Linked DNA regions of Xenopus tropicalis. Each later gene encodes a partner of the first gene's protein in a complex. Links are inferred from orthologs where the notes say so. Each region holds a gene or a part of one and is shown on either strand. Other genes may lie near its edges.

Region 1 (4,906 bases):
TTCCCTATCAGGTCAGCCTAGCTGCTGATTGTTGGTTCCTATCCTACAGTGCAGTATACCGAGTGCTGCTGGCCCCCCTGCACATCCAAAGAACTCAGCCAGCAGGAAGTGGAACAGATGGGCGGGACTACTGGGACTTTTAAAAGCACAATCCTTCCATATTTAGAGGAGTATAATACACTGGTACATTCATAATTTTAACATGATATGTCTCCTTTATGAGGGCTAAATGTATCAGTTTACTGAGGGCAGAGGTTCCCTATATACAATTTAGCAACTCTACAGCCACACCAGGCCCAGACTGGCAATCTGTGGGTTCTGGCCAATGCCTCTGGGTACTGGGAATGCCAGAGGGGCTGCTGTAAGGTACCACAGACAGTCACTATTTATTGGGCTGGGGGGGCGTTTGTGCCTCTGGGTACTGGGAATGCCAGGGGGGCTGTAAGGTGCCACAGACAGTCACTATTTATTGGGCTGGGGGGGGGGCTGTTTGTGCCTCTGGGTACTGGGAATGCCGGGGGGCTGTAAGGTGCCACAGACAGTCACTATTTATTGGGCTGGGGGGGCTGTTTGTGCCTCTGGGTACTGGGAATGCCAGGGGGGCTGTAAGGTGCCACAGACAGTCACTATTTATTGGGCTGGGGGGGGCTGTTTGTGCCTCTGGGTACTGGGAATGCCAGGGGGGCTGTAAGGAGCCACAGACAGTCACTATTTATTGGGCTGGGGGGGAGCTGTTTGTGCCTCTGGGTACTGGGAATGCCAGGGGGGCTGTAAGGTGCCACAGACAGTCACTATTTATTGGGCTGGGGGGGGGGCTGTTTGTGCCTCTGGGTACTGGGAATGCCGGGGGGCTGTAAGGTGCCACAGACAGTCACTATTTATTGGGCTGGGGGGGGGGCTGTTTGTGCCTCTGGGTACTGGGAATGCCAGGGGGGCTGTAAGGTACTACAGACAGTCACTATTTATTGGGCTGGGGGGCTGTTTGTGCCTCTGGGTACTGGGAATGCCAGGGGGCTGTAAGGTGCCACAGACAGTCACTATTTATTGGGCTGGGGGGGGGGCTGTTTGTGCCTCTGGGTATTGGGAATGCCAGGGGGGCTGTAAGGTGCCACAGACAGTCACTATTTATTGGGCTGGGGGGGGGGGCTGTTTGTGCCTCTGGGTACTGGGAATGCCAGGGGGGCTGTAAGGTGCCACAGACAGTCACTATTTATTGGGCTGGGGGGCTGTTTGTGCCTCTGGGTACTGGGAATGCCAGGGGGGCTGTAAGGTGCCACAGACAGTCACTATTTATTGGGCTGGGGGGGCTGTTTGTGCCTCTGGGTACTGGGAATGCCAGGGGGGCTGTAAGGTGCCACAGACAGTCACTATTTATTGGGCTGGGGGGGCTGTTTGTGCCTCTGGGTACTGGGAATGCCAGGGGGGCTGTAAGGTGCCACAGACAGTCACTACTAAGGGGTATACTTACATACCCCCCAACTGTCCCGCATTGCGGGACATTCATGGAACTATCCGGCACAGCAGGATGCGCTTGCTGTAGCCGGATGTTCTTGCTTCGTCGGCTGCTTCGTTATGCCTCTCCTTGTGCAGCGCTACAGGCCCTTTTATAAGGTTGCGCCTGTGGGTGTGACGTCATTACGCATGGGCGCAACCTTATAAAAGGGCCTGTCGCGCTGCACAAGGAGAGGCATAACGAAGCAGCAGAAGAAGCCTGCGCCTATGGGAGGTACTGTGAATGGGGGGCCACTGTGATCGGGGGGGCCACTGTGATCGGGGGGGACACTGTGATCGGGGGGGACACTGTGATCGGGGGGGACACTGTGATCGGGGGGGACACTGTGATCGGGGGGGACACTGTGATCGGGGGGGACACTGTGATCGGGGGGGACACTGTGATCGGGGGGGACACTGTGATCGGGGGGACCTGTGGGGGGGGACACTGTGATCGGGGGGGACACTGTGATCGGGGGGACACTGTGATCGGGGGGACACTGTGATCGGGGGGGACACTGTGATCGGGGGGGACACTGTGATCGGGGGGACACTGTGATCGGGGGGACGGCTACTGTGTATGGGGGGCTACTGTGTATGGGGGGCTACTGTGTATGGGGGGCTACTGTGTATGGGGGGCTACTGTGTATGGGGGGGCTACTCTGTATGGGGGGGCTACTCTGTATGGGGGGGTTACTCTGTATGGGGGGGTTACTGTGTATGGGGGGGCTACTGTGTATGGGGGGGCTACTGTGTATGGGGGGGCAAAACTGGTACTTAGTTATAACTGACTGCCTTCTCTCTATACTTGTATTTATATGTAGGAGTTGCTATATTGTTTTCCTTAGGTAGTACAGTATGAGGGTATAGCACATTTTCGTCTGCGCCCGCCATTTCATCTATATAAAAGGGGTATTTTTTTTTAATGGGGTGTGGTAATTGGGGCGTGGCCACAAAAGGGGGCGTGATTAAAAAAAATGCCGCACTGCGCGCGCGCCAAATCTTTTTGTCCCTCTTTTCATTTTTCAAATGTTGGGAGGTATGTACTTATCATGCTGTGTAAAAAGTGGAGTAAAGCAGTACTGGTGATGTTACCCAGAGCAACCAATCAGCAATTAGATTTCAACAGTTAGAAAATCAAATCAAAGCATCTGATTGGCTGCTATATACAACAACACTGGTGATGTTTTACTCCACTTTTTACACAGCATGATCAATATACCCTTAAGTGTCTTTACCGTGGGGTTTCCTTCTTGGCACCGGCAGCTGGAGCCCCAGAACCTCCTCCTCACTCGGTCCCTCCTCGGAATCTTCCCTTTCCGCACTGCGTTCGCTGCTCCCATCCATCTCCCCTCGGTTACAATCAGACAAGCGGGCTGCTTCCCCCTCACACTGTGTTTACATTCCCCGCAGCGCCGCTTGCACTTCCAGCCCCAAGCATCCCGCAGGCATGTTCAGCCACACGCCGCTAGCCTCCTCTCGCGAGAATATGACGTCATGAACCACGTATAAAAGGGGCGGAGACGGCGCCAACTCGTCATTGGGTGAAGAGTTAGTCAGGCAATAGCTGGCAGTGGGGGCCGCTGACTGATTATTCTGCTCTCACAGATTCTGATTTTGTTAGAGAATAAATAAAGAAAATAACGACTGCTTTTTTCCTTCGTGTTTCCTTGCCATGGCCACTGCCCTTAGAAGCTTTATCCCCAGTGTTTGATGAAAAAACAAATATTTGCTTTCTCTGCTCCACAGAACATGTAAATGGGAACAAAAAAAACACTTTGTTTATATTTGTGGGTGAGGTAAATATGAAAAAAAGCTTTATTTTTCTGGTGATTACCAGCAATACCCACTACCCTCAGAGTCTGCTCCTGATATCCCAAACTTAGTATTTTATTTGAAGTTACACTGCCATGTTTTTGTGAATAATGGACATGGTTTTAATTTTTGATTTTTAAAAACCCTATAACCCACCCAGTTTTTCAATTATTGCCTCACTATTGTTACAGTTGGCCCATACAGAACATTTGGTCATTCCTTTCAGCTTTGATCCCTTTGGACATCCTTGTTACAGCCATACTAAGCAATAGGCAGCAATAGTTACAGCTATACTAAGCAATAGGCAGCAATAGTTACAGCTATACTAAGCAATAGGCAGCAATAGTTACAGCTATACTAAGCAATAGGCAGCTATAGTTACAGCTATACTAAGCAATAGGCAGCTATAGTTACAGCTATACTAAGCAATAGGCAGCAATAGTTACAGCTATACTAAGCAATAGGCAGCAATAGTTACAGCTATACTAAGCAATAGGCAGCAATAGTTACAGCTATACTAAGCAATAGGCAGCTATAGTTACAGCTATACTAAGCAATAGGCAGCAATAGTTACAGCTATACTAAGCAATAGGCAGCAATAGTTACAGCTATACTAAGCAATAGGCAGCAATAGTTACAGCTATACTAAGCAATAGGCAGCAATAGTTACAGCTATACTAAGCAATAGGCAGCTATAGTTACAGCTATACTAAGCAATAGGCAGCAATAGTTACAGCTATACTAAGCAATAGGCAGCAATAGTTACAGCTATACTAAGCAATAGGCAGCAATAGTTACAGCTATACTAAGCAATAGGCAGCTATAGTTACAGCTATACTAAGCAATAGGCAGCAATAGTTACAGCTATACTAAGCAATAGGCAGCAATAGTTACAGCTATACTAAGCAATAGGCAGCAATAGTTACAGCTATACTAAGCAATAGGCAGCAATAGTTACAGCTATACTAAGCAATAGGCAGCTATAGTTACAGCTATACTAAGCAATAGGCAGCAATAGTTACAGCTATACTAAGCAATAGGCAGCTGTAGTTACAGCTATACTAAGCAATAGGCAGCAATAGTTACAGCTATACTAAGCAATAGGCAGCAATAGTTACAGCTATACTAAGCAATAGGCAGCAATAGTTACAGCTATACTAAGCAATAGGCAGCAATAGTTACAGCTATACTAAGCAATAGGCAGCTATAGTTACAGCTATACTAAGCAATAGGCAGCTATAGTTACAGCTATACTAAGCAATAGGCAGCAATAGTGAACTGGATTTAGTCCCTAGGGCATTCGGGGCTTACTAACTAGGCTCCCAATTCTCTTCCTTGACCCCCTACATACAAAAGCTGGAACGACTGGTTGATTACAGGTAACTGTACCAGGCTTAAAGATCCAAGTTTGTGGATCTTAAGGGTGAAGACACACGGAGCTACTAGTAGCAGCTGCTTGTTGTGGCTACTAAAACAAACAATACTGATCATTTACTGATAATTGTCTCTATGTGTGTTTTAGCAGAGGCAATTCTCAGTATTGTCTATGGCAGGGGATTTTCTGGAGTTTAGTAGCCATGAAAAAGTAGCTGCTACTAGT
Region 2 (5,021 bases), about 90 Mb from region 1:
ATAAAGAAATTAAAAACCATAACCCTAGTACCTATTGACTTCAATTCTGTTAGTATCTTGTTGCATTACTTTGAGGCTACTTTCCTAGATGTTGTAGATTGAAGTGTAGCAATTTATCTTGGCAGAGTTTGATGAAAAAGTAGCTTTTTTCTAGTATCTCAATGAGTATTATCGCTACAAAATAGCATCACTAGTTTAGTACAATGTTGTCTCTTTGTGGATCTCCACAATAATGATCATGAAGAGGACAAAATGCATGCCTAAAGTGCCTTTTGTTTCAGAACCCAGCTTTCCTTTTAAAAGCCAATTAGACTGCCTAGAAAAAAAAACTTTTTTTTTAACCAGCTGCACCAGTCATTTAACTGATGACTGGTTGAGATTTTTTTTTGTATATTGCTTTAAGAACATAAAGGATCACCTTTAAAATGTCACAGACTGCATTATTAAAACCTCAAAAGAACTATTTATCACAAAATAATATTTTATTAAAATACAAAAAAATACAAGATGTCAAAAGGGTCTATATTACATTCCAATACTGCACCATTCAATAATTCCCTTCAGCATTAGAAAGCCAGCTTCTTCATCAAGAGGTAAACACGAGAATCCACTTCAAATCCATGCAGATTGTTAGCATCTCCCTGAAGCCTCATTAGAAGTCCTCCATATGATACATATGCAGACCTAGAGGAAACATGAGCACGTTATGGAACACAGAGAATATTGGAAAGTAGAGGCAACTTGTGTGAAAGAGTAAGGGCACAAGTGAAACATAAGTCCCTTTCAAGTTTACAGAAAAATAAACCCTATTAGTATTGCTTGCTTTCATCCACCATAAATGGTGCTGCTTATTCTGCACAATTCAATTTGGTGTCTATTAAAAAGTGAGAGATGTCAGAGAATTCCCTAATAAATCACCTTCTACTGATTAAACTGTAAATCTGAAACATGCACCCTTATCTTTAAATTCCATCCCACTATATTGTAGACTTTGGGGTATATTTATTATGCTGTGTAAAAAGTGGAGTGAAGCATTACTAGTGATGTTGCTCAGGGCAGCCAATCAGCAATTAGATTTCAACAGTTCAACCAAAGCAAAGCATCTGATTTTGCTGCTATGAGCAACATCACTGGTACTGTTTTACTCCACTTTTTTACACAGCATGATAAATATAACCCTTACTGTGGAGTTCTAGGCTTGCCATATCCATAGATTCCAATAGGAGTAATCCTCTTATTGGATGTGGTCTACAGTTCAGCTTATTGGCATGGTGGAGCCTGGCAATAATTGTTAAAGGAAAAGTAACACTAAAAATTTTTAATTAAAAAATGTATTCTACCCTGCCCCAATAATTGCCCTATCCTGCACACCATTTATTATTTTGAATGCTTTATTAGAAAATACCTGCTAAATCTTGGCTTCCGGTCATTTGAAAGAGGGTGATACAGCGATGCAGGGCAGAATCCACTATGCGACGATCAATCCTCGCATAGTGGATTCTCCCCCCCTAAATTTTAACCCTTTCTGGATGCTAATTAGAATATACAAATTTATGCTAATTATGATTCGGTTCGGCTGGGACAGTGGATTTAGCCGAAACCGAATCCATCAAAAAAAGGCAGGATTTGGGGCGAATCCCGAACCGAATCTGGGATTTGGTGCATCCCTAATAATTTCTGTGTGTTGCCTTTCTGGCCCAGGTGCAAAAACCTTCTTGTCTTTTCATACAAAGAGCACATGCAGGTTTAAGATGAAGAAGCAAGTAACTGGGTAGATGATTTGGATTCTTACAGGCGGGTAGCGGCTTCTGTGGAAGTTTCATCACCCTCTATCCGATAGACCTTGCCGTACATGATGTATTCAAACTGGTCAGCTCTAAAAGAAGAAATGCAATGCATGAGTCACGTGCCTCACAAAGACTATAATTTGGAAACCAACAGGATGAACCATATGTTCCTTTTTATTTATCTGCAGTAATATGATACCTTGAGGGTCGGTCATCAGTAGGATTGTACTCTCCGTCATCCAATGTACCATCCTCATAGAGCGTACTGGCAATAACCAAGCGGAATTTATCCCCTGTGGAAGAAGAGTAAGAGGACACACAATTTAACAACTGTTGTGCAGTTAATCTTCATAAAACACTGGTAATGTGGTAGAATTTAAATACATCTTTGCATTTATGCACCGTGTTTAGTCAATGCAGTGCCAGCCATGCCATCATTTTTTTTTAGAATGGAACCCATAAAGCAGATCTATAGAACCCGCACCATAGATTTTACAAGCTACTTCAGGTATGTGCTACTTACACAACTAGAGGATCAACTCCTATTCACCCTAAAAATCCTCCAGCTTCTGATACCACCCCAACAGCACACTGCACCAAGATATGCATTAACCATAATAAAGTTTGTTTCTGGTCTTACAACTGGCAAGACCCAGAATCAGACAGACTAAATAAACTGTATTTGCAAATGATAGTTGCTAAGGGTTCACCGACACTTGCAGAGTGTTACTTAACAGGTAACAAAAGGCTGAAAACTGTCAGATAAGTCAATTTTGTTTTTGACATTTTAGACGTTGTGTTTGCAAAACATAAATCCACTGAAAATATTATTTTCATTTTATGATATTGTGTTTGTCTCTAAAGTGGACTCCTATTTCAAAAATGACTGCTATAATCATGTCAATGTACAGACAACAAATCCCAACTTACCCAAGTCCACAGGATAAACCTGTATATTAACATCAAGGATCAAATCCATCTTAAAAGACTCACTTTCACAATGTAACCTTGACACTAGAAGAAAAGTCACAACATTAGCAATGTAAAGAAAATAAATGGACCTTTCATGTTTGGAGCAGACATGTTTGGCTTTGCTATGCTGCTTACCTCGATCAAATTTTCTTCCTTCTGGATCAATATCCTTTACATCAAAGATGTCTTCAAACAAAATGCCAGCCATGGCAGATAGCTAGAAAGGTAGACTCTTATTAATATCTGTGCAGGGATATTTTGTTTTCTATAACTGAATGAGATTTCTAATGGTCAGACTGTTTTCCTTAATAATTTGGAGATACGTAAAGATATCCTGACACTATTAAGTTTCTACATTCTTATTGCTTTGAAATTTTGACGCTGATTTTTTTTTTATGTTTCCACGTGCTGTTCTGCATGATTTTGCCGTCACATCCTTCAATTTGGAAAGAACACATAGGAACCCTAGCTTCCGCCCTCCCTTCCCAAATCAATGACAGAAGGGGGAGGGCGGCAATCCAAGTATGTGCATACTGCCCGAAAGTCCCGCTTTTCCTTACAAAACCCGCAGTCCCGTATCACTACTTACTCTTCCCGCAAAGCCTGCCGGCTTCTAGTCTCGTTTACAGAAAATCCCGACGTCAAAGTCTCATCACGCGAGACTGGCGTCACGACTACACGTAACGCAATGACGCATTACGCAGCCGCCTGGGAGTAACGAGCCTACGTAATCGCGTCACACAGTAGGCAGCTGCTAGAAAGTCAGCTTCCAGTTCTACTCCTACTTCTGTTAGAAAAGAGAAAAAGACTATTTTTCATGTCAGTTGCCTTCTGCCACCTCAGCTCCAAATATTTCCTTAGCAGTCATTCATATAGGGAAGGAAGATTTTTTTTTTCCTGGTTGCCACCAGCAAAGTAAAGCCCAGTGAAATTTTAGTAATTTTAGTTTTTTTTGCAGTTATTGATTATTATGTTGGTTATAGTAACAATCAAATGCACAGATCTGCGTTTTACAGACACAATTGTAAAACCATTAGGGTAACAGTTCAGTGTAAAAAATGAAACTGGGTAAAATAGACTGCACAAAATAAATATTCTCAATATTGTTAAGCGAAAATGTAATCTATAAAGGCTGGGGTGAGCAGGTGTCTAGCATAATAGCCGTTAGGGCAGTGGCACACGGAGATTAGTCGCCCATGATAAATCTTCACCATTGCGGGCGACTAATCTCTGAAATGCCTTTCCATCAGCAAGAATGTAAATTGCCTGTGGGATGGTATACACATCGCTTTTGGTCGCACAAGGAACTGTTCAGTTAGTTTGCTTTTGCTCACAAACGAAGGGTCACATTTACTAATCCACGAACGTCCGAATGCGTTTCATTCGTAATGATCGGTATTTTGCGATTTTTTCGGAAATTGACGCAACTTTTTTGTAGCCATTATGACTTGCTCGTAAATTGTCGCAACTTTTTCGTAGCCGTTACGACATGCTCGTAAATTGTCGAGACTTTTTCGTAGCCATTACGACTTGCTCGTAAATTGTCGAGACTTTTTCGTAGCCATTACGACTTGCTCGTAAATTGACGAGACTTTTTCGTAGCCATTACAACTTGCTCGTAAATTCTCGCGACTTTTTCATAGCTGTCGCGCCGAGTACGAAAGTTTCAGATTCTTTCAAGCTTCAGTATTGTGACTTTCCTTGGGCCAGGTTGGAGCTGCAGAGTGCCATTGAGTCCTATGGGAGGCTTCCAAAATCATGCAAAGTCGCAAAGGTTTGCCCGCCATTTACGAGCGCTCAATACGAAAAAGTCGCGACAATATACAAGCAAGTCATAACGGCTACGAAAAAGTCGCAACAATTTACGAGCAAGTCGTAATGGCTACGAAAAAGTTGTGACAATTTACGAGCAAGTCGTAATGGCTACAAAAAAGTTGTGACAATTTCCGAGCAAGTCGTAATGGCTACGAAAAAGTCGCGACAATTTACGAAACAGTCGTGACGGCGACGAAAAAATCGCAAAATGTTCGTTTCCAATCCGATTTTTTCCCATTCGGGATTCGGATTCGTGGATTAGTAAATCAGCCCCTAAGTCTCACTAACAGTCCCATGTTCCCCCCCCCCCAAAGTCAATGACTAAGAGGTTAGAGAGCTGTGAGGAAGTAGTGTTCTGACTATAATGGTTAACTTAACAACGTTTGTTGCTGCTCAAAGCCTAATACTTATTGCATCAGAAGCAAGCCTTTTAAAAGGAGAACTAAA

What was found. The genes of interacting proteins can lie anywhere in the genome.
Region 2: taf1a (region 1) and polr2h share a complex: the UniProt entries of both Homo sapiens proteins name them as parts of the pol I pre-initiation complex. The link is inferred for Xenopus tropicalis from reciprocal best matches to the Homo sapiens genes TAF1A and POLR2H.

Annotation. Positions count from the first base shown.
Region 1 is NC_030681.2:9,681,770-9,686,675, reverse strand, and holds the start of taf1a (TATA box-binding protein-associated factor RNA polymerase I subunit A), read right to left. Parts: upstream 2,995-4,906; 5' UTR 2,839-2,994; coding exon 2,730-2,838; intron 1-2,729. UniProt on the Homo sapiens protein: Component of the transcription factor SL1/TIF-IB complex, which is involved in the assembly of the PIC (pre-initiation complex) during RNA polymerase I-dependent transcription.
Region 2 is NC_030681.2:99,527,055-99,532,075, forward strand, and holds polr2h (DNA-directed RNA polymerases I, II, and III subunit RPABC3), read right to left. Parts: upstream 3,362-5,021; 5' UTR 3,349-3,361; intron 2,977-3,348; 5' UTR 2,968-2,976; coding exon 2,895-2,967; intron 2,802-2,894; coding exon 2,718-2,801; intron 2,081-2,717; coding exon 1,987-2,080; intron 1,877-1,986; coding exon 1,793-1,876; intron 685-1,792; coding exon 567-684; 3' UTR 464-566; downstream 1-463. UniProt on the Homo sapiens protein: DNA-dependent RNA polymerase catalyzes the transcription of DNA into RNA using the four ribonucleoside triphosphates as substrates.